Anolis sagrei: one gene and its partners. The protein of the gene in region 3 interacts with the protein of the main gene of each other region in a pairwise test. Links are inferred from orthologs where the notes say so. Each region holds a gene or a part of one and is shown on either strand. Other genes may lie near its edges.

Evidence for each region. The genes of interacting proteins can lie anywhere in the genome.
Region 1: the proteins of KHDRBS2 (region 3) and RNA-binding protein 3-like interact in binary tests that used the Homo sapiens proteins (3 or more experiments, as listed by UniProt). The link is inferred for Anolis sagrei from reciprocal best matches to the Homo sapiens genes KHDRBS2 and RBM3.
Region 2: the proteins of KHDRBS2 (region 3) and CIRBP interact in binary tests that used the Homo sapiens proteins (3 or more experiments, as listed by UniProt). The two-hybrid records come from large-scale screens. The link is inferred for Anolis sagrei from reciprocal best matches to the Homo sapiens genes KHDRBS2 and CIRBP.

The regions. Positions count from the first base shown.
Region 1 is NC_090022.1:194,292,406-194,299,715, reverse strand, and holds the start of RNA-binding protein 3-like, read left to right. Parts: upstream 1-4,260; 5' UTR 4,261-4,366; intron 4,367-6,427; 5' UTR 6,428-6,446; coding exon 6,447-6,549; intron 6,550-6,647; coding exon 6,648-6,754; intron 6,755-7,310. Other genes in the region: homeobox protein prophet of Pit-1-like, read left to right, coding at 401-745. UniProt on the Homo sapiens protein: Cold-inducible mRNA binding protein that enhances global protein synthesis at both physiological and mild hypothermic temperatures. Reduces the relative abundance of microRNAs, when overexpressed.
Region 2 is NC_090034.1:60,015,498-60,023,265, forward strand, and holds the start of CIRBP (cold-inducible RNA-binding protein), read left to right. Parts: upstream 1-4,718; 5' UTR 4,719-4,827; intron 4,828-7,266; 5' UTR 7,267-7,274; coding exon 7,275-7,377; intron 7,378-7,473; coding exon 7,474-7,580; intron 7,581-7,768. UniProt on the Homo sapiens protein: Cold-inducible mRNA binding protein that plays a protective role in the genotoxic stress response by stabilizing transcripts of genes involved in cell survival. Acts as a translational activator.
Region 3 is NC_090021.1:117,775,430-117,783,154, reverse strand, and holds the start of KHDRBS2 (KH domain-containing, RNA-binding, signal transduction-associated protein 2), read right to left. Parts: upstream 3,153-7,725; 5' UTR 3,064-3,152; coding exon 2,973-3,063; intron 1-2,972. UniProt on the Homo sapiens protein: RNA-binding protein that plays a role in the regulation of alternative splicing and influences mRNA splice site selection and exon inclusion. Binds both poly(A) and poly(U) homopolymers. Phosphorylation by PTK6 inhibits its RNA-binding ability.

The sequences.
Region 1 (7,310 bases), on a different chromosome or scaffold from region 3:
GACCTTGGAGGTCCGTATCCGGCCCCCGGGCCTTAGTTTGAGAACCCCTGCACTAGAGAATGTAGGGTCTTGTTGAGAGAGTGCCATACTGGAAGATACAAGCCCCTTCTACACTGCCCTATATCCCAGGATCTGATCCCAGATTTTCTGCTTATCCCAGATTATATGGCATTGGAGACACATATAATCTAGTTCAGAGCAGAGAATCTGGGATCAGATCCTGGAATATAAGCTCAATATAAGATAGACCACAGAGAGTCTTAGAGAGGTACTCTTATGGGTTAAAAAAACATTTTAATGGTTTTCCACTTTTACAGGCATTCACAAACCCTAACCCCAGCAAGCGTGTAAGTCTGATTGTACTTCACAATATACATTTGGTCTCATTTTCTTTTCACAGGTTTGGTTCCAGAATCGACGAGCAAAACAGCGAAAACAGGAACGAGCGTTCCCCAAATCTGCCACCACGGGCGTCCTCTCTGTCTGTCCCCTTCCCACGCCTCCAACGCGGCAGTATCAGTACCCACCCACCCTTGGGCCACACCATCACCTGCCTCGTTTTCCTTCTAATTATACTCTGCCTCCCGCAACTCCATCTGGAGCTCCAACTCAGTTCCCATGCCCCCAAACTTCCCGCACTCACGAAGACTGGTACACCCCTCTGCGCACCATTGGGTCTCCCACAGTAACTTCCCCACCTTCCATGATCTCACTGAGCCTTGATCCCAGCACCCTTTGGAACTGAGGGTCTCTTTGCTTGCAAAAATATGAATAAGGTGCATCCAGGTGGGGATAACACACATAAACATGGGGAACACAAAGCCACTCTTAAGGAAAAGCCAGAGTGTGACACCTTATCTTGGCCCCTGCCAAGTTCATGGCAACCTATCTGCTGAGGAATACCCATGCCTTTGCTATGAAAGAGCTGTGACAGTTTAGTGGCATTTCTGAAAATGTGCATTCAGCGCATACACATGTTTTTGGCTACATTTCTTAGGCCTTATACTTAGTAGTGTAGTGGAGCCACAGGGTTTTTTGAATAGCATGGCTCTGATGTCATTTGCCATCCCCTTACATTCCTGTTTCCTCTGGGGGCCCTTCCACACAGCCATATAATCCAGAATACCAAGGCAGATAATCCACAATATCTGCTTTGAACTGGGTTATCTGAGTCCACACTGCCATAAATCCAGTTCAATGTGGATTTTATACAGCTATGTAGAAGGGGCCTGATTTTCTCTACGGGAAAATGGATTTAATAACACTCTATTATAAATCAAAGTATTTGGGTGTGGCTTGACCTTTGATGAGCAAGATCCATTGGATATGCAAAAGACCTGCTTCCGGTGGAGTTGATTTGGAAAAAAATAGTCCAACAGAGCTGTTTTGGGACTCTCCTTGCAAATGTAGCTAAAGGGACTGACATGATTACAGCTGGCGCTTCAGAATTGAACACTACACCTGTGGATTTATTGTAATCCCAAATTAACAATCTGGAACAGGGCTGTCAAACTCATTTTCATAAACGCCATATCAGCCTGATAGTTCCTTCAAACAGCCATTGAATTCATGGATGGAGACTGTGGATACAGAGAGCCAACTCCACCCGCCCCTCTCTCTATACACACACACACACACACACACACACACATTTTCTACACAGCTGTAGAAAATCCACACTGAACTGGATTATCTGGCAGTGTAGACTCAGATAATACAATTCGAAGCAAATATTGTGGATTACCTGCTTTGGCATTCTGGGTTATATGGCTGTGTGGCAGGGCCTCCAGTATACACACTTCTCCTTTTACTTTTCTTTTTCCTTGCCCAATAGTTGCAATAGCTATGTTCCGCTTTACCTAAAATGCAAAATCACCAGCAAAAGGCATCCTTCAGTAGGGTAAACACAGGGCCCTTCTAGACAGGCCTTATATCCCAGGATCATATCAGAGGTTTTCTGTTTATCCCAGATTATCTGGTCGTGTGGACTCATATACTACTTCATCGCACTAGAGAATGATTCCTCTTAAAATCCGGTTTCTGCCTTCACAATTCTGGGGTTTGTAGCTTACTGAGGCTGTTAAAGGCCCCTCTCTAAACTACAAACCCCAGAATTGTGCAGGAGGTAGAAACCGGGTTTTGAGTGGATTCATTCTCTAGTGCAGTGGTTCTCAACCCGTGGGTCCCAAGGTGTTTTGGCCTACAACTCCCAGAAATCCCTGCCAGTTTAGCAGCTGTTAGGATTTCTGGCCAAAACACCTGGGGACCTACAGTTGAGAACCACTCCTCTAGTGTGATAAGGTTCTGGATTTGGGAGCTATCCTGGAAAATTGTGCATACAAAATACATGCGTACATTGATACATACATATTTTTACTTTTAGATTTTACACACATACACACACACACAGAATTTAGATTACTGATTATCTACCAGTTCATAAATATATATATGACTTGTCTAATTTACTTTTAGCCAGTTTGGAGTATCCTCATGCTTGGTCTCTCTCTATCTCTCTGGTGGTCCTTTCTGTTGTAGTTTTGCGTGTCTAAGACCTTTCCTTATTCTAAATAAGGACGTTTGTATGGAGTAACACTATGATCTTTGGACTAGCACTTCAGGAGAACGTGTTTTGAATTCCCGCTCAGCCATGGAAACCCGCTGGGTGACCTTAGACAAGCCACACTCTCTCAACCTCAGAGAAAGGCCATGGAAACCCCCACTGCACGTCTTGCCAAGAAAACCTTGTGATTGGTTCATCTTAGGCAGAGAAAACTTAAAGGCAATAAAAAACAAAAATTCAGAATATTATTATTATTATTTTATTATTTATTTAAACGTATATGCCGCCACTCCCCTGGGGCTCGGAGCGGCTTACAAGAATAGCTAAAATCTAACAAAATTTAAAAGCAATTTAAAACAATTTAAAAACAACAATATCAATCATTAAAAGCCTGTCGAAACAGGTATGTCTTACATGCCCTGCGGAAAGCTGGTAAGTCCTGCAAGGCACATACTTCAGGTGGCAGAGTATTCCAGAGTGATGGTGCCACTGCTGTGAAGGCTCTGTGTCTGGTTGCTGTTAGGCGCAAGGTCTTGACACTGGGGACTTCCAATAGATCTTGGTCCTCAGAACGGAGGGATCTCTGGGGTTGGTAGGGGGTGAGGCGGTCCCTCAGATACATCGGCCCCAGACCATGCAAGGCCTTAAAGGTGAGTACCATCACTTTGGAAGTGATCTGGTGCTCAATCGGTAACCAATGCAGCTGCAGAAAGATTGGGGTGATGTGGCATCTCATCGGAATTCCCACAAGAAGCCGAGCAGCTGCATCTTGTACCAACTTGAGCTTCCGGATCACCGACAGAGGAAGGCCAATGTAGAGGGCATTACAGTAGTCCAGTCTTGAGATGAATATTGGTTCATATGGCTGCTGCTATTAATTCTAATTTCAGACAGAGATCCAGCCACAACAGATTCTTTATCTGTTAACAAAAAATAAAGGAAAAATACAAATGTGGGGCAAGAGAGTTTTAAATCAGGCCTCTCAGTGAAGACTGAGATGTTTTTGAACTGTGGTGTTGGAGGAAAGTTCTGAGAGTGCCTTGGACCACGAGAAGATCCAACCAGTCCATATTCCAGGAAATAATGCCTGGCTGCTCACTGGAGGGAAGGATGTTGGAGGCAAAGATGAAGTACTTTGGCCACACAATGAGAAGGCTCCTCCTCTAAACCACAAACCACACAATTCTGCAGGAGGCAGTAACCGGATTTAAAGTGCATTCATTCTCTTAATCCAGTTTAAAGCAGAAAAGCTGGGCTCAGATCCCAGGATGTGGGGCCTGCGTGGAAGGGCCTAGAAGAGCACTGGGCCCCTCCATTTCTTTGCAAGGATCGTGTGGTTGGACGTCCTGAAGTCCTGTGGCTAACAACTATCATAATAATAATAAATGCCTTGCCAAATCCCTGTTGTGATTGCGTTGGTTTCCCTTCCATTTCTGCCCCCACCCCTTTCCCTTTTCGAAATCGAATCCTGGCCGGAAGTAAGCAAGCGACATTTTAATTTCCCTGCGTGACAAAAGGACGCCGGACTGGGGCGGAAATCTTTCCCTACGCAATTTGTTTAAAATGTGCTTTGGAGGGAGAAAGTTGAACAAATACCCGGATGTCCCCGCACTCCCCGCGTCCTTTCGGGCAAAGCGATTGGGCGAAAAGTCCCACCAAGGCGCACGCGCAGGCGCCGATGCCCATAAAAGGAGCGGCAGCGGTCACGTGGCCCTCCCTCATGGGCGGACCCCTATATAAGCGTCGAGCGGGCGGTGCCTCGGCCGCATTTTCCGCTGCTCCAGTGCTGTTAACACCTTTTTGGTAAGGCGGGGGTCGAAAATAATGGGTTGTTTTGGTGGGAAATGGAAGGAATGTTAATCCTCCCATATTATTAAAAAGGACAGCGTCCGCTGCCGTTCTTGAATAGCGGGTGAATGGGATAAAGCAGGAAAGAATAGCCAGGCCGTCTTTTACAAAGCGCAAGCACGTTTCGAGAAGCCTCGGGAATGTAGGGTGTCTGCGCATGCGTGGAAATTATCGCTTGGTGGTGGTGGTGGAGGCGGCTGCGCGCGCGGTGGGCGTTGCGCATGCGGGGGAGGAAAAGAGTGAAGAAACGGAAGGGCTGGCTGGGGCCCCTCCGCGAGGCGAAAGCGGCCGTTGGGCGCGAGGCCTCCAAACAGGCAGCGCTGCCGCCGCCGCCATCTTTGACGCTCCAGAGGCCCCTCTTGTTGGAGCTGGGGTTAACAAGATGGCGCTCGGGGCGGGGAAATGGAGGCGGGGAGGAAGGCAGGCAGGCATTTTGTCCTCCCTCCCTCCCGGGCAGCTTCCTCCTTTTCTATTTATTTACCAAGAGAATGAGACTTGGGATATTTACAGACGTTTTGATTTTTGAAAACAAGCCCCGAACTGGAGCTTCAGGAAATGAATCCGTGGATTTAGCAATGGGAAGGGATAGTTATGTGATCTTCCCAGAAACACATGAGGTATCAGTTATGGGACTACAATTTAGTCCTCCCTGAGATCAGGCCGTGAATTTAAGCCTAAAAATAATATTTTATTTATTAACTATATATACTGCTATTCTCACCCCGGGGGGGGGGGGGCAAGGCGGTTTACTTTTATATATTGACTATATTTATATACTGCTTTTCTCACGGGGGGGGGGGACGACGACTCAACATACTAATGGCAAAAATTCAATGCCAACATAGATGTAGACAAAAAATCATAACTAAACACTAATATATAACTATAAAATCATTAAAACCATTAAACATCAGAAATAAACATTTTAAAGCATTAAAACATAGTATGAATATTAAAATCACATAATCCAATAATTTTGATCCTGATTTTCTCCCTGATGGTACCCAAAGCGGCTCACAACACAATACAAGTGAAAAGCACATTTAACATAAAATACAAGACCAAAAAATCCCACAAAACATAATAACATCCAGAACTAAGATAGAAATAAATATTAAACATTTATAACCAATTACAATCTTTGTGGAGACTCTTCAGTTAAATGGTATATTTTGCTAAGCTCAGTGCAAACAATCTTGCTGTCATTAGCAATTGAATTCATTTGCCAAAAGCTTGCTTGAACAGGTAGGTCTTCAGCTGGTTCTTGAAAGATAATGGAAGGGGAGGGAGTTCAAAAGGGCCGGCAGCTACTGAGAATGCCCTCTCTCACCACCGCCTGTATTTCTGGCGGTGGCAACTCCCCAGATCTTAATGATCGGGCAGGTTGGTAAGAGGTGATGCAGTCAGATAGGTAAGTTGGGCTTGAACCTTTTAGGGCAGTGGTTCTCAACCTGTGGGTCCCCAGATGTTTTGGCCTTCAACTCGCAGAAATCCTAACAGCTGGTAAACTGGCTGGGATTTCTGGGAGTTGTAGGCCAAAACACCTTGGGACCCACGGGTTGAGAACCACTGGTTTAGGGCTTTAAAGGTCAAAACCATCACCTTGAATCGGACTCTGAAACATTGGCAGCCAGCCTACCCTACTAAAGCATTATTAACAAATTGTGTAAGTACAGTAGAAACAAATTGATAAAAAAAATGATCAAAAACAGTATGTTTCTCCTTAAAAGGTGGTGCTTTGCAGCTGGGCCCATCTATGTAGTCCATTTAATGCAGTGTGACACTGGCTTTAAACTGATAGTCAACAAGCTCCCACAAAAAGTGCAGCAGTGCTCTGGTTTGCATGATCACCGCATGGGCCACAGGCAGATTCCAGGATTTCCTGTGTAATCGTCTGCCCAGTGAAACCATTTTGTTCAATACTGTTTTGAAATTACCTTAAGTGGTCAGGATAGATGGGACCTATATCAACTCCTAATCCATATTCTTTTCCTTTGTTGCATGTCTTTTCTTTAGAACCCTCCTCATCACCATCATGTCTTCTGAAGAAGGAAAGCTGTTTGTTGGGGGGCTGAACTTTGATACTGATGAACAAGGCCTGGAGCAGCATTTCAGCTCCTTTGGTCCCATTTCGGAAGGTAAGCAAGTTCTGGGTATTTCTGGTAGAGGAAATTTACCTTTTTGTATAATCATGAAAGTGTTAAGTGAATCTCCCACTTTTGTATTGTTCTCCTAGTTGTTGTGATCAAGGACAAAGAGACCCAAAGATCAAGGGGCTTTGGTTTCATCACCTTTGCCAATCCTGAGCATGCATCCGATGCCATGAGAGCCATGAATGGAGAGGTAAGAATGTGAAAGTTGTTAATTTTGTTAACTCTTTTAAGCTGTCCTATTTTAAGTATACAAGACAAAACAATCGTTTGCTTGCAGGTATAAGACTTGTCCTGCTATATTTGGCTTTATTTCATTTCCTATTTACTTAATGGATTTTAGCCCAATCCGATAAAGAATTTGCACAGCATTAATATTTCACTTATCACACTTTGTGCCTTTATAGGCATCATTTCTAGTCTTAAGAATTGTACAGTATGAGATATGTTTTGGCACCAACAACCGTGTCAGTTTATTGCTAAAATGCAAAACTGGGTAGAGCTCAGTCTGTTCCCATCAGATCTGATCCTTTCAAAACTACGCATAATTCATGTTAGTGGCCTATGCCTGACTTCTAGCTACATCTCTGGAACTATTGATTTCTCCCAAATTTCTTTAAATTGTGGCTTCTTGTAGCTGGTGTACTCTGATGGAGTAGTTAGGCCATGTTTTGATCCAGCTCTTCACAGTTCAGACAAGTTCTTGTTCCAAGTTGTTTCTTCAGGGTTAAGTTCTCCCCCCACTGGTC
Region 2 (7,768 bases), on a different chromosome or scaffold from region 3:
AGGGGAATTGGCCTGGACATTTTGGAGTTGTAGCTACTTGGAATTTTTTTTTTCATGTCAGAACCGACTTGAGAAGCTACAAGTCTCTTCTGGTGTGAGAGAATTGGCCATCTGCAAGGACGTTGCCCAGGGGACATCAGGATGTTTTGATGCTTTACCATCTTTGTGGGAGGCTTTTCTTATGTCCCCGCATGGGGAGCTGCAACTGACAGAGGGAACTCATCCACACTTTCCCTGATTTGAACCTCTGACCCATCGCTCTTCAGTCCTGCTGGCACCCATTGCTCCACCGGGGGCTCCTACTTGGATTTATAGTTCATTTATAGCAATCAATGAGCACTCTGAACTTCACCAAAGATGGAATTGGACCAAACAAAGACCCCATGACCAGCAAAAAATACTGGCAGTCTCAACCACTGCATATCTTACTTACTTAGGTGATCCCTCATTGTCCAAGTCTGATGGCCTTCTTGTCAGTGGGTCCATGGGTGACTGTGGAGCGCTGTTCTTGATCTACATGTTTTTCCACAGTGAGGGCATTGCTTTCCAGGTGGAAGGCCATCTCGGTCAGGGTTGGCTTGACATGCCTTCCTCTTGACACGTTCCTCCTTTTCACCCTCCATTTGTGCCTCTTCAGATTCCACAGCACTGTTGGTAACAGCTGACCTCCAGTTAGAGCATCCAGTTCTCGGTGTCTGTGCCACAGTTTCTAAGATTGGCTTTAAGCCCATCTTTAAAACTCTTTTCCTGTCCATGAACATTACATTTTCTCTTCTTGAGTTGGGAGTAGAATAACTGCTTTGGGAGACGGGCATTTGGACAACGTGGCCATTCCAGCGGAGTGAATGGCATAGGAACATCGCTTCAATGCTGGTGGTCTTTGCTTCTTCCAGCATGCTGACATTTGTCCGCCTGTCTTATTCCAAAGATATTTGCAGGATTTTTGGGAGGCAATGCTGATGAAATCGTTCCAGGAGTTGAGTGTGATGTCTGCAGACAGCCCACATTTTGCAGGTGTAGAACAGGGTTGGGGGGACAACAGCTTTATAAACAAGCACCTTGGTATCACTACGGATGTCCCGATCCTCATTCAGAAGAATGCTGCACTTGCAGAGCTCTGGCAGTGTTGTATTTCAGTGTCAATGTTAACTTTTGTGGAGAAGTGGCTGCCAAGGGAGCAGAAGTGGTCAACTGCTGGGAGAGCACTTTGGTTTTCTTGATGTTCAATGAGACGCTGAGCATTTCATATGTCTGCAAAGGTGTGGCTTGTAGGTCTTCTTCTGAATGCGCAGAGACTACATTGCCATCGGCATACTGGAATTCTATAACAGATGTTGTTGTGACCTATAAACACACAATATTTTTTTAAAAAAATCTAAAACCCGTTTGAAATTAAGATTCCTAAGATGCTGTGCTTCTGAGCAGGAAGGTGGAGGAAATGTGTTTCTGAGAGGAAAAATGAAGGAAAAGATATGTTTCTGAGGAGAAAGTTGGAGGAAACATTGTTTCTGAGGGGAAAGATGAAGGAAAAGATAGGTTTCTGAGGAGAAAGTTGGAAGAAACATTGTTTCTGAGGAGGAAGACGGAGGAAAAGATAGGTTTCTGAGGAGAAAGTTGGAAGAAACATTGTTTCTGAGGAGGAAGACGGAGGAAAAGATAGGTTTCTGGGGAGAAGGTTGGAAGAAACATTGTTTCTGAGGAGGAAGACGGAGGAAAAGATAGGTTTCTGAGGAGAAAGTTGGATGAAACATTGTTTCTGAGGGGAAAGATGAAGGAAAAGATAGGTTTCTGAGGCGAAAGTTGGAGGAAACATTGGAGGAAATGTTGCTTCGAGGCGGAAAAGGAGCTTGCTCCCAGTGCAGAAGCGGCAAGGCTGGCCCATGACTTCCCCTCTCCACATGGGGTATGGGGGGGGGGGGGGCTTCCAGGCTCTCCTGGCTTTATTTATTATTTATTTCAAATATTTATATTCTGCCCAACATCTACACAAATGACCAGCCACTGCCAGAAGGGACAGAGAGTTTCATCTATGCTGATGATCGTGCCATTACCACTCAAGCAGGGAGCTTTGAGATGGTAGAACAGAAGCTCTCCGAAGCTCTAGGTGCTCTTACTGCCTACTACAGGGAAAACCAGCTGATCCCTAATCCATCTAAAACACAGACATGCGCCTTTCACCTTAAGAACAGACAAGCATCCCGAGCTCTGAGGATCACCTGGGAAGAAATCCCACTGGAGCATTGCAGCGCACCCAAGTACCTGGGAGTCACTCAGGACCGTGCTCTGACCTACAAGAAGCACTGCCTGAACATCAAGCAAAAAGTGGGTGCTAGAAACAATATCATACGAAAGCTGACTGGCACAACCTGGGGATCACAACCAGATACAGTGAAGACATCTGCCCTTGCGCTATGCTACTCTGCTGCTGAGTACGCCCAGTGTGGAACACATCTCACCACACTAAAACAGTGGATGTGGCTCTTAATGAGACATGCCGCATTATCACGGGGTGTCTGCGCCCTACACCACTGGAGAAATTACACTGTCTAGCCGGCATTGCACCACCTGACATCCGCCGGGAAGTAGCAGCCAATAGTGAAAGGACCAAGGCAGAGACATCTCCAGCTCATCCCCTGTTTGGGTATCAGCCAGCACGTCAACGACTTAAATCAAGACATAGTTTTCTTAGATCTACAGAGACACTCGCTGGAACACCTCAGCAAGCGAGAGTCCAAAAGTGGCAGGCCCAAACCCAGAACCTCAACCAATGGCTGATACCAAATGAGAGACTCCCTCCTGTGCACACAGAAGACTGGGCGACTTGGAAGGCGCTGAACAGATTGCGCTCTGGCACCACGAGATGCAAAGGCAATCTTAAGAAATGGGGCTACAAAGTGGAATCCACGACATGCGAGTGCGGAGAAGAGCAAACTACAGACCACCTGCTGCAATGCAACCTGAGCCCTGCCACATGCACGATGGAGGACCTCCTTGCGGCAACACCAGAGGCACTCCAAGTGGCCAGATACTGGTCAAAGGACATTTAATCAACTACCAAGTTTGCAAAATTTGTGTTTTTTTAATGTTTGTTTGTTTTGTTCTGTTAGAAATGTAATACCATGTTCTGGTTGTGGATGACACGATAAATAAAATAAATACCCCGAAGGAGCCCCCGGTGGCGCAGTGGGTTAAAGCCTTGTGCCGGCAGGACTGAAGACCAACAGGTCGCAGGTTCGAATCCGGGGAGAGGCGGATGAGCTCCCTCTATCAGCTCCAGCTCCTCATGCGGGGACATGAGAGAAGCCTCCCACAAGGATGATAAAAACATCAAAACATCTGGGCATCCCCTGGGCAACGTCCTTGCAGACGGCCAATTCTCTCACACCAGAAGCGACTTGCTCCCGACACGACAAAAAAATAAATAAAACCCGAAGGAGACTTAGGGCGGAGCACACCATATACATGGCAAACATTCAATGCTAGGACATGAATTCATTATATGAATACATAAACATCACAAATATTTGTATCAATATTAAAATACACTGGGTTGTTGTAGGTTTTTCCGGGCTATATGGCCATGTTCTGGAGGCAATTTTTCTCCTGACGTTTCGCCTGCATCTATGGCAAGCATCCTCAGAGGTAGTGAGGTAGCCCAAGCTACCTATCCGAACGTATCTCTGCCTATCAGCCCGCCAGGACCCTGAGATCTTCTGGGGAGGCCCTGCTCTCTATCCCGCCTGCTTCACAGGTGCGGCTGGCGGGGACGAGAGACAGGGCCTTTTCGGTGGTGGCCCCTCGGCTGTGCAACGCCCTTCCCATGGAGGTAAGATCAGCTCCCTCGCTAATGGTGTTAAAGATTAAAAACTTGGATGTTTGAACAGGCATTTGGTTAATCAGTGCAATGAATGTGACAATTACAGGAATGGAAATATGGACGACGAATTTGGATCACGACTCTAGTAATGAGATGCATTGTGTTGTTACTGTTGTGTAATATTGTATATTGTGCTCTTATGGTTTTAAACTGTATATCGTTGATTGATTTTATCCTTGTTGTAAACCGTGTTGAGTCGCCGGTTAGGCTGAGAAACTGCGGTATACAAGTAAAGTAAATAAATAAATAATAGTGAGGTCTGTTGGAATTAGGAAAAATGGGTTTATATATCTGTGGAATGACCAGGGTAATGTTTCAGCTGATCACCTTGATTTGCATTCAATGGCCTGGAAGCGCCTGGGGGGAATCTCTTGTTGAGAGTGAATTGATGTGCCTGATTGTTTACTCTCTGTTGTTGAAATGCACTGCTTAAAATCGTCTTGTCTGGCTTCCCCAAGATGACACCCTTCCCCCCCTCCCTTCCCCGTTCATTGCGGCAAACCTGAGCCGCATTGCTGACAACAAGGCGCGAATGTAGGCCAGCGTGGCCACGCCTCCTTCCTCTGCCTCAGACACGGGTTTTGAGGCGGAGCTGAGGAACCGTCCAATCGCTCCGCTCGTCCAAAAGAGAGGCGGGGCTTGTTGCCCTTGTCAACACCACCCTCATCCCTTTTTTATTCCGGCTCGCCCAATCACAATTCGCGCATCCTTCCTGTTTTGAATATTAATCAGGCTTTAGCCAATGGGAAGCTCGATGGAGCGTTGCCTCACGGCCGGGGAGAAGCGTCTATCCGGGGAAGCGCCGTGCTGCATACGCATGAGGTGGGCGGGGCCCCGCGGGCGGGTATATAAGGCGCCGCACGGGGGCGCTCCTGCGCAGTTCGCATTTGGTTGTTGAAGAGCGCGTGTAGCTTTCTGTAGGAGACAAGAGGAGAAGGACACATCACTCGGTAAGAGATTTTCAAAGGAGGGCGAATATATTTAAATACTCCAAAGCATTCCGAGTGCAGGAATGTTCAACTGGGGGAACTGAGTAGGGATTCGCTCGAGGGGAATTGCGCGGAAGAGCTTGTTTTGGTCGACGGAGGGGAATAAAATGGCGTCCGGCCGGCTTTTGGGAGGAAGGCGCAAAATGGCGCGAGGAAGTGCGCGAGGCGGCGTTGCGCCTTCGAGGAGGGAGAGAGCGGAGGTGCGCCCTCTACTGGGCAGAGGCCACGCTGCGCGCATGCGCAGATTAGATTCTGTCACTTTCAGACAGCCCTAGGCCAAATTGGGCCCTCCAGGTGTTTTGGATTTCAACTCCCATTATTCCTAACAGCCACAGACAGGCCTGTAGCGAGGGGGTGGTTTTAGGGGTTCAAACCCCCCCCGAAATGTTTCAGATTTTTTTTTTAAAAAAACTGGTTTGCTCATGAATTTTAACTGGTTACCCAAATCCCCATGCTAAGTCTATGAGATGCAAAAAATTAAGAGTCCCTCCAGAACTGCAAGCAATATCTCAAGCAAATATTGACAATTTATTCACACTGCCATTACTTGCAGCAATTGCCGATGTAGTGAAGCAACCAAGTTGGAGGGGAGTGTTGAATGCTCTCATTAAGGAGGCCAGACTTGGTGGAGGTGGTTGACAGGGGTGGAGCTGCAGGCTATTGAAGGTTGCTCTGCCCCCTGCTGTGCTCTTTGCTTCAGCGTGAGCTAGGAGGCAGGTTTCCACCCCCTCCCCCGACATTTTCAACCCCCCCTAAAATTTTCACACACCCCCCCTCCCAAATTGTCAACCCTCCCCAAAAAGTTTTTCTGGCTACGGCCCTGGCCACAGACCCCTTCCTTTTCCTGAGGCTGTTAGGAATGGTGGGAGTTGAAGTCCAAAACACTTGGAGGGAGGGCTGAATTTGGCCCAAGGAATTGGGAGCCCCCCCCCCCTCTTGCACCATAAGCTGCTCTGGCCAGAGCAAATTATTATTATTATTATTATTATTATTAATACTTTATTTGTACCCCGCTAGCATCTCCCGAAGGACTCGATGCGGCTTACAAAGGCCAAGGCCTCAATACACAACATAACAATACAAAACCCAAGACAAATTAAAAACAATCAAAGCAATAAACAATACACTAGGACACAGTGAACCTGGGCCTGGCCAGAGTAATGGGTACAGGATTAAAAGTGCTGATGTGACAGGTGGGATATAAGGCTTATAGGGCAAGTGCAGTGTGCAGCGTGCAGCAATCTTAGTTTTAATAAAGTGCTTCTGGGACTTGGTATTGGAGATTTCCTATTCTGGGAAGGCACATCAGAACAGCCAGGTCTTCAAGTTTTTTCTAAAGACTGCCAGGGTAGGGGCCTGTCTAAGATCTTTGGGGAGGGTGTTCCAGAGTCGGGGGGCCACCACAGAAAAGGCCCTGTCTCGTGTCCCCACCAAACGCGCTTGCGACGCAGGCGGGATCGCGAGCAGGGCCTCTCCAGATGACCAAAGTGAACGCGTGGGTTCGTAGACGGAGATGCGGTCACGCAGGTAGGATGGTCCCAAACTGTTCAGGGCTTTGTAGGTAAGCACCTGCACCTTAAATTGGGCTCGGAAAATAAACGGCAGCCAGTGGAGCTCCTTGAACAGGAGGGTTGACCTCTCTCTGTAAGGGGCCCCAGTTAACATCCTGGCCGCTGCTCGTTGGACCAGTTGCAAAGACAGAGAGGGGAGCAGAAGACATTTACATCTTGTCTTCTCTCTTTACTAATAATATAATATAGTATATTGTATGTGCATATAATATTTATAATATTATATTGTAATACAATATAATACTAGTAATAATAATACGCCCCCCCTGGTGGCGCAGTGGGTTAAAGCACTGAGCTGCTGAGCTTGTTGACCAAAAGGTCGCAGGTTTGATTCCAGGGAGCAGCATGAGCTTCCGCTGTCAGCCCTAGCTTCTGCCAACCTAGCAGTTCAAAAACATGCAAATGTGAGTAGATCAATAGGTACCGCTCCGGCGGGAAGGTAATGGTGCTCCATGTGGTCATGCTGGCCACATGACCTTGGAGGTGTCTATGGACAACGCCGGCTCTTCGGCTTAGAAATGGAGATGAGCACCACACCCCAGAGTCAGACATGACTGGACTTAATGTCAGGGAACAACCTTTACCTTTATAATAATGCAATATTATAATTATATATTTACATCACATGTAATATTACTAATAATATTACAATATAATGGTATAGTGCAATATAGTAATATATAATACTGATATTGTACTATGCTGATAATATAATATATTGTATGGAAATATATATTATAAGCTACTCTGAGTCCCCTTTGGGATGAGAGGGGTGGCATATAAATGCCGTAAATTAAAACATTCTGCAATTTCTTCTTCTGGCCCACAGGAGGAGAAATGGCATCGGACGAAGGGAAGCTCTTTGTCGGCGGGCTCAGTTTCGACACCAATGAACAGTCCCTGGAGCAGGTCTTCTCCAAATATGGACAGATCTCTGAAGGTAACAACCATGTATCTGCCCTCTGTAACATTTTGGGAATCCTTTGCCCAATTAATTAGGAAGAGGGATTGACCCGCTCTCCTCCCTTCCTTCCAGTGGTTGTGGTCAAAGACAGAGAAACGCAGAGGTCCCGAGGGTTTGGATTTGTGACCTTTGAAAACATTGACGACGCGAAAGATGCTATGATGGCCATGAATGGGAAGGTGAGTGGCCGCCATATTGGGGCAGCGCAGTGTTTTTCAATCTGGGCGGGCGGGGGGGGGGGGGGCGGGTGCGAAGGTATCAGGGATCACCAGAGGCAGTAAGTAACCACAATTTTCTGTATTGTCGAAGGCTTTCATGGCCGGGAATCACTGGGTTTTTTGGCTGTAAGGCCATGTTCTCTAGAAGC
Region 3 (7,725 bases):
TTAGCAGCCCTAGAAAAAAAGAGGACTTTATAGATCTAAAAAAAAAACAACTGTCTTCTGTTTCTGTTTCACATATATTTCCTCTAAGGATGCTGCATAGGTCTGCCTAACTTCAACTGCTAAGGATTAAAAAGTGAAGTGAAAAATGCCAGGCATTGTAAAACAAGACTTTGCTTGTACACTTAATTGTCATATGTTGCAGTAAGAAGGCTTTGTAAGTTATCAAGGACCTCTCCTTGAATCCAAAAATGGCAAACAGTCCATACTAATATTATATTATTGTAAGAGATGCCATTTTAAAGGCTAATACAATATAATTGCTCTATAGTCTTCTTTTTTGCTGACATTCAAATAAATGGTGATAGCATCATGGTAATCTTTCAACATAAAATGCATCACTCTGCCTATAGTTTTCACAGCTCTAGGTGTGCTCATTTTATTGAAAGTTTGCCTTTCAGACATTTTATATTTTTGCATAAATCTGAAACACAGTTCCAGAAACCTTGACAGATGGTGTTTTGAAGGATAATGCAAGGTAGCTGGTGTGAATCCCACATTAGTACTCTCTCTTGCTTTCTTAAGCAACTCACCTTAGTCTGTGTTTAATATCCACATATCCTAACCTACAGCTACACTTGAGGGGGGTCGGGGAGTAGCACATTTATTAAAATATGTGCATCATTTGCAGCTGAATTTTAGCTTGAATGGGAAAGGTAGATGTAAATACATCTGCATGGGCTCACTTTTATTAAAAGGTTTTAAAATAACCACAGAGTTTTGTATTCCCCCCCCCCCCATTTTATTCCTCCCCAAAGTCCTCTACCCTTCACTTTTCTTCTGATTTTACTGTGTCTCAGCAGATAGTTCCCCCTGCTGGGAAAATTTCAAATTACACACACAAATCATATTTCTGGCGGGGAATCTATACTTTAAAAAAGAGTATATGATGGGAAAGCTCTCATTTACAAATCTGGCATCCCCTTTTAAAATGAGAGCCTGAAGACTTTTAAAATAAAGTATGTTTGATGCCTGCTTACATGTTTTTAAGATAATTATTCAGATTCTTTGGAATATTGACATCTTATTTCCATATACAGACACTGTTAGATCTCTATCAAATTATTTGCATTTGACTTCATTTCATTACAAACCCTTCCAAGTCTAACAATAACATGGGATGAAGATCCAGTATCATATTATAATTGAAAGGGAAAGCAATACTATCAAACTAAACAATTTAACTATATTTTACAGACAGATATTAATAACATGGACAATGGATGAAATCAGGGAGAATACTTTTGGTGGTGATTTTCTGTGCTTCTCAACTCAAATACAGTCTCAGTTGCTGTGAGTTTTCTGGGCTGTATGGCCATGTTCCAGAAGCATAACATGGCTATACAGCCTGGAAAACTCACAGCAACCCAGTGATTCAGGCCATGAAAGCCTTCAACAACACTCAGATACAGTTATTCAAAGGCACAACTTGGAAAGTTCTGGTAACTTGCTCGTGAGTTCTTCAACAATTAATTAGTCCTGACATGACTACAAGAGTTTGATATTCTAGCAAAATGGGGTAAACCTGGCAGTTGACAAACTTAACAAATCCAGAACAAGAGTAGACTGAAATGAACTGGAATGACACGAATCACAGGCATTGTGATGGATTTAGCTCTTCCCATATAATATGGACATTTAACACAACAGCCCAAGATGGAACAGCTTTAATGAAACACTTTGCATCTGTCTTTCTGTAAATAAAAATTGGAGTCCAAAAGCTTTTTCCACTACAAAAGTAGTACACCTGATAACAGAGCAGTTCTTACTAAAAAAAAAAAAGGGAGCACGAAAAGAAATAAAAGCTTCCTATGAAAACAAATAATTCCCATGGAAATGATTGTCCATGATGGTAAAAGTCTTGAGTGTTTTTTAATAAGCGAAGGGTATTTGCTACGATTTAACTAGTCATAACACTGGGCAGGAAGAGTTGCTTGAAATGTAGCTCTCAAAAATAGAAACAATCCTTGTTTGGATTACTACTGCCATTCCATTTTCTTTCTCAAGTATATATATATATAAAACTTTTATGATCTGGAAAAAAATCTTTCTAAAATAATGTACATCTTAGAAAAAAGAAAGAAAAAGATGGCTGAGTTGGATCTCTTTCACAAAATGCCAAATTGTTGCTGATTTGTTTGCAAACTGGATTGATGGAGAGGTGAGTCTATGAGGACACAAATCATCCTCTTGAGTATAGGGTGTTGCCATTGAAACCTATCAGTATCTCTTCCTCTGGAAGCAATAGTAGGGACATAGGGGCCATTGACACAAACTCTATACTTCTATAGTACAGTTGGATGAAGGTTATGGACACTGGGGTGATGGAGGAGTGCATCTACACTGTGGAAATAATGCAGTTTGGCACCACTTTCACTGCCATGGCTATGGAATCATAACAGCTGTATTTTAGCGAGGCACCAGCACTATTTGGTAGAGAAAGCTAAAGACCTTGTGAAACTTCAATCCCCTTTGAACCATGGCAGGCAAAGTGGTGTGGAACTGCATTAATGCTACACCCTCAGTTGCTTTCCTCCTTCACTTTCTCTAAGGCGAATCCTCCCACCAGACTCATTGGTCTCAGCAGCCTCTGTCTCTATGTAGATCTCAGACCAGAACAACAGAGCTCCTTGGCTCTTCCTCAACGGGGAAGGGAAAGACTATCTTCGCCTTTCTCTCCCCCTTTTCAAACCCCCTTCCTTTAGTCCGAGGCCTCGCACAAGATCTCAGTCCCAATGCTTCCCTAGGAAAGATTTCAGTCCCTATGTAAGAGCTGAGTCCCTATGCAAGATCTCAGTCCCTATGTAGGATCTGAGTGCCTATGCAACATTTCAATCCTCAGCAGCAACAGCCACCGCTTCTCCTTGGCTCAGAAAGGCAGCCAGAGGAGAGGAGCCCCCTCAAAGTCCTCCTACCTTCTGCCAAAAGGCGCATCGCGTGAACAAAGGACGAATCCAGGCTATCTTTCTCGGCCATCAGCTCGGGTAGGTATTTCTCCTCTTCCATAGTAGACCGGGCAGCACTTGGGATCGGCTGCCTGCCCGAAAGGTGGTGCGCGGGGAGCTCCTTGCCTTCCCTCGGACTTGGAGCAAGCCTCCCTTGGCTGCAGGACCCTGGACAGCGCGCGCCCCCCTCCCGCCAGACACACGCGCGCGCCCCGGGATGCCTGCCTCGGCTTCTCTGCCTCGCGCCTCTCTAACTGAGCCACAGGCGCCGCCGAGCAGGAGCCTTAACTAGAGAGGTGGGCGAGAAGGAGCGTTCCACCCACCGCTCCGCCCTTCCCATTGGGCAGCGGGGGCTGGAAAGGCGGGGCGTGAAGCGCAGCGGCGGCTTCCCATTGGCTCGCGACCCCGTCGCCTTAAGTGAAAGGCAAGGGCGGAAAAAAAAAAAAGCCGGGAAGGGGATCAGGGAGGGACTTAGCGCGCCGCTCGCTGTCCAAGGTGCTGAAGCGGAGCGAAGGGCGTCTGAGGGCTTTGGAAGGGCTGCGGCTTTGGATTTCTCTCTCTTTGATTCCCCTCCTTAGGAAAAACGAGTCAAGCCCAGACGCTGCATATTTTACTTCTGTCCAGGGCTGTTGATTTCCTCCAAGAATCCATACCCCGGGCCCGCCCCTGAAGATTCATGGAGAAAGTTGTCACCTTCCAAGGGACATTGCATCTTCCACTCCTATGACTTCTATTTCACAGGCACCAGCCCTCCATCCCTCTTTCGTGTAAGGATGCACTGACAGATTCATCTCAAAGAGTGACCAAAGATGTATCTACACCAAGTATGGGCAAACTTCGGCCCTCCAAGTGTTTTGAACTTCAGCTCCCATCAGGCATGTAGCCGGGGGGGGGGGGCGGCTCGGGGGGCTTCAGCCCCCCCCCCCCCGAAATTCTCATGGTGGTTCGCGAAAAGGCCTTATTGGTGCATTATTTAAACTGTTATGTTTATTCATATCATGATCTGATCACCCTACTCAATATATCCCATATGCATGGGGTATTGGGGTAATGATACAAAAGATTTGCTAGGCTAGACCCTCTTTCACTCAGACTCAGCCCCCCCCCGAAACTCAGCCCCCCCGAACCCCCCCCCTGAAAAAAAATCAGCCCCCCCCCCCCCGAAACGAAATCCTGGCTACGGGCCTGGCTCCCATAGTTCCTAACAGCCAGTAGGTTGGGTTGTTGTAGGTTTTTTGGGCTCTATGGCCATGTTCTAGAACAGTGGTTCTCAACCTTCCTAATGCCACAACCCCTTAATAGAATTCCTCATATTGTGGTGACCCCAAACCATAAAAGTATTTTCGTTGCCTCTTTGTAACTGTAATTTTGCTACTGTTATGAATTGTGGTGTATATATCTGATACTGTATGCAGGATGTATTTTCATTCACTGGACCAAATTTGGCACAAATACACCATATGCCCAAATTTAAATACTGGTGGGGTTGAGGGGGATTGATTTTTGTCATTTGGGAGTTGTAGTTGCTGGGATTGATAGTCAAACTTCCCATCAAAGAGCGTTCTGAACTCCACCAATGATGGAATTGAAGCAAACTTGGCACACAAAACTCCCATGACCAACAAAAAATACCGGAAGAGCTTGGTGGGCATTGACCTTGAGTTTTGTAGTTAGTTATAGTTCATCTACATCCAGAGAGCACTGTGGACTCAAACAATGATGGATGTGGACCAAACTTGGCACAAATAGTCAATATGCCCAAATGTAACACTGGTGGAGTTTAAGGAAAATAGACCTTGTCATTTGGGAGTTGTAGTTGCTGGGATTTATAGTTTACCTACAATCAAAGAGCATTCTGAACCCTACCAATGATAGAATTGGGCCAAACTTCCCACACAGAACACCCATGACTGTGTTTTCTGATAGTCTTGGTGACCCCTCTGACACCCCTCATGACCCCACAGGGGTCTCAACCGCCATGTTGAGAAACACTGTTCTAGAAGTATTATCTCCTGACATTTTGCCTGCATCTATGGCAGCCATCCTCAGAAGTTTTAAGGTCTTTCAGAACTAGGAAAATTGGATGTATATGTCTGTGGAATGTCCAGGGTGGGAAAAAGAACTCTTGTCTGTTTGAGGCAAGTGTGAATGTTGCTATTGGCCATCTTCCTTAGCATTAAATGGCCTGGCAGTTTTTAGGTGTGGCTTGTTACTGCCTGGGGAAATCTTTTGACGAGAGGTGATTAGTTGTTCCTGATAGTTTCTTGTCTGGAGTTCCCCCGTGTTTGAGTGTTGTTCTTTATTTGCTGTTATAATTTTAGTGGTTTTTTTAAATACTGGTAGCCAGATTTTGTTTATTTTATGGTTCCTTCCTTTAGGAGAAGAAACCTAGGTTTCTTCCTAACAGCTTAGGTTAGGCTGTTAGGAATTGTGGGAGTTGAAGACCAAAACATCTGGAGGACCCAAGTTTGCCCATGCCTGATGCACAATGTTTGATTAAGGAAGTTTGACACCACTTGAACCACTAAGACTCAAGGCCATGCCATCCTGGAAGTCATAATTTGGTGAGGCACCAGCCAAAGAACCTTAAATACCTTGTAAAACTACAACTCCACTGATTCCACAGCATTGGTCCATGACAGATAATAGTGCTGTCAAACTCCATTATTTCTATGGTGAACATACACCCTGGTGCTTTCATTAAGCAGCAGACTCACTTTGGGTTACTCTACACCAGGGGTCCTCAAACTTTTTAAACAGAGGGCCAGGTCACAGTTCCTCAAACTATTGGGGGGAGGAGGACTGAATTTTGAAAATAACATGAATGAATTCCTATGTAAACTGCACATATCTTATTTGTAGTGCAAAAAAGGCTTAAAAACAATACAATAATTAAAATGAAGAACAATTTTAACAAATATAAACTTATTAGTATTTCAGTGGGAAGTGTGGGTCTGCTTTTGGCTGATGAGATAGGATTGTTGTTGTTGTTGTTGTTGTGTGCTTTCAAGTCATTTCAGACTTAGGTTGACCCTGAGCGAGGGCCGGGTAAATGACCTTGGAGGTCTGTATCTGGCCCTCGGGCCTTAGTTTGAGGACCCCTGCTCTACACTGTGGAATTGATGCAGTTTGATATCAACGCTATGTAATCATGGGCATTGTGGTTTTACATGGTCTTTTGCCTTCTCTGCCAAAGAATGCTGATGCCTCAGCAAACTATACACTGCAGTTCCACAACATTGAGGCATGACTGTTAAAGTGGAGTCAAACTGCATTCATACTACAGTGTAGATGCACCCTTTGCCGTTCACATACCTAGTCTGACTACTTAGTCCAGACAGACTTTATGAAGGCAATCAACCTGGAAGGCTTCCCTCTGCTGAAACGAATAAGGAAACCTTTTCACTTTAAAGCAATAGTCTCTCTCTGTGGCAGTGTGTGAAGGGAGGGAATCAGAAACAACTATTAATTGCTATTACATCATATTACACCAATTTCTACAGAATGGGAAATTATTCAACATTTCAAAATGGCCATACAAATCCACCAGTCCCAAAAAGAAAATCTATTCAATTGTTTTCAGGAAAAAAAGGTATCAATCTATAAAGCTTCTGTGGATGCCCACCCATGAACACTTCAACCATGACATCACCCACAGCAATTCCTGACTGAAAATAGCCCATAGGCACATATCTGATAAATTCTGGATTTTCTTTTACAGGCTTAAGCTGTAAAAAATGTTGACATACTAGAAAAATTATTCTCTTGACATTCTTGCCTACTTCTCAGTCACTATGGTAATGGATTTAGACCTCTCGAAAACCTGAGAGGAAGCTTTAAAGTAAACATTATATTTAGACTGCACTGAGTCTCTTTGAAGGGATATTGACAATTCTTACACTAAACTACATTGGAATATTACTCATTCAACTTCACAAGTATTGAAGGCTGGCGTTCAATGCCTTAAGAACCATTTTTGGATCAAAAGATCAAAATAACAATATTCAAAAGATTAAAATAACTACATTATGACACCAGCTTCAACTGAATGTATTTTATCCAGCAACACATCCAGTAAATGGCCAATAGGTGAATTATTCCAGGTTGATTCTGTTTTCTTTTTAATGGGGGACAGCTAGGTAGGCCATTCACTGTTCTATGGTAACATCCATGGCAGATGCAAATCTGTAGCCCTGACACACTCCATCTCTTCATCCAACTAGATCAGTGGTTCCCAACCTTTTTTTTAATCAGGGACCATTTGGCCAGAGACCACTTTGACCAGGGACTACTCTCCAACATTACCAAAATGGTTATGAATCCGTTTTTGGTCAACTTTAGATTCAGTTTGGTTATTTGGGGTGTTGATTCAGAAAATTGCATTGAATAGACCACATCAGCTCTAGTTTCTGATACAGAACATATGCCATCCAGTAGTCACCATTTGCTCGCCCATACCACGGACCATATTTTAGTTCTTGCAGACTACTGGTGGTCCACAGTCAATATGTTGGAAACCACTGAACTAGATGAAAGAATCTGCTCCAATCATTTTTATATTAATATGAACATAATAGCCTCATAATTATGGAGCAAATATACTGTGGCTCTGTTGGAAAGCACACACAAGACAGGAAAACCTATATAAAAGTGAACAGACCAGGAGATGAGTTTATCTGCTGTTCAGTGGACCCCATTAGATGTATTACTGAAGCAGTATTTG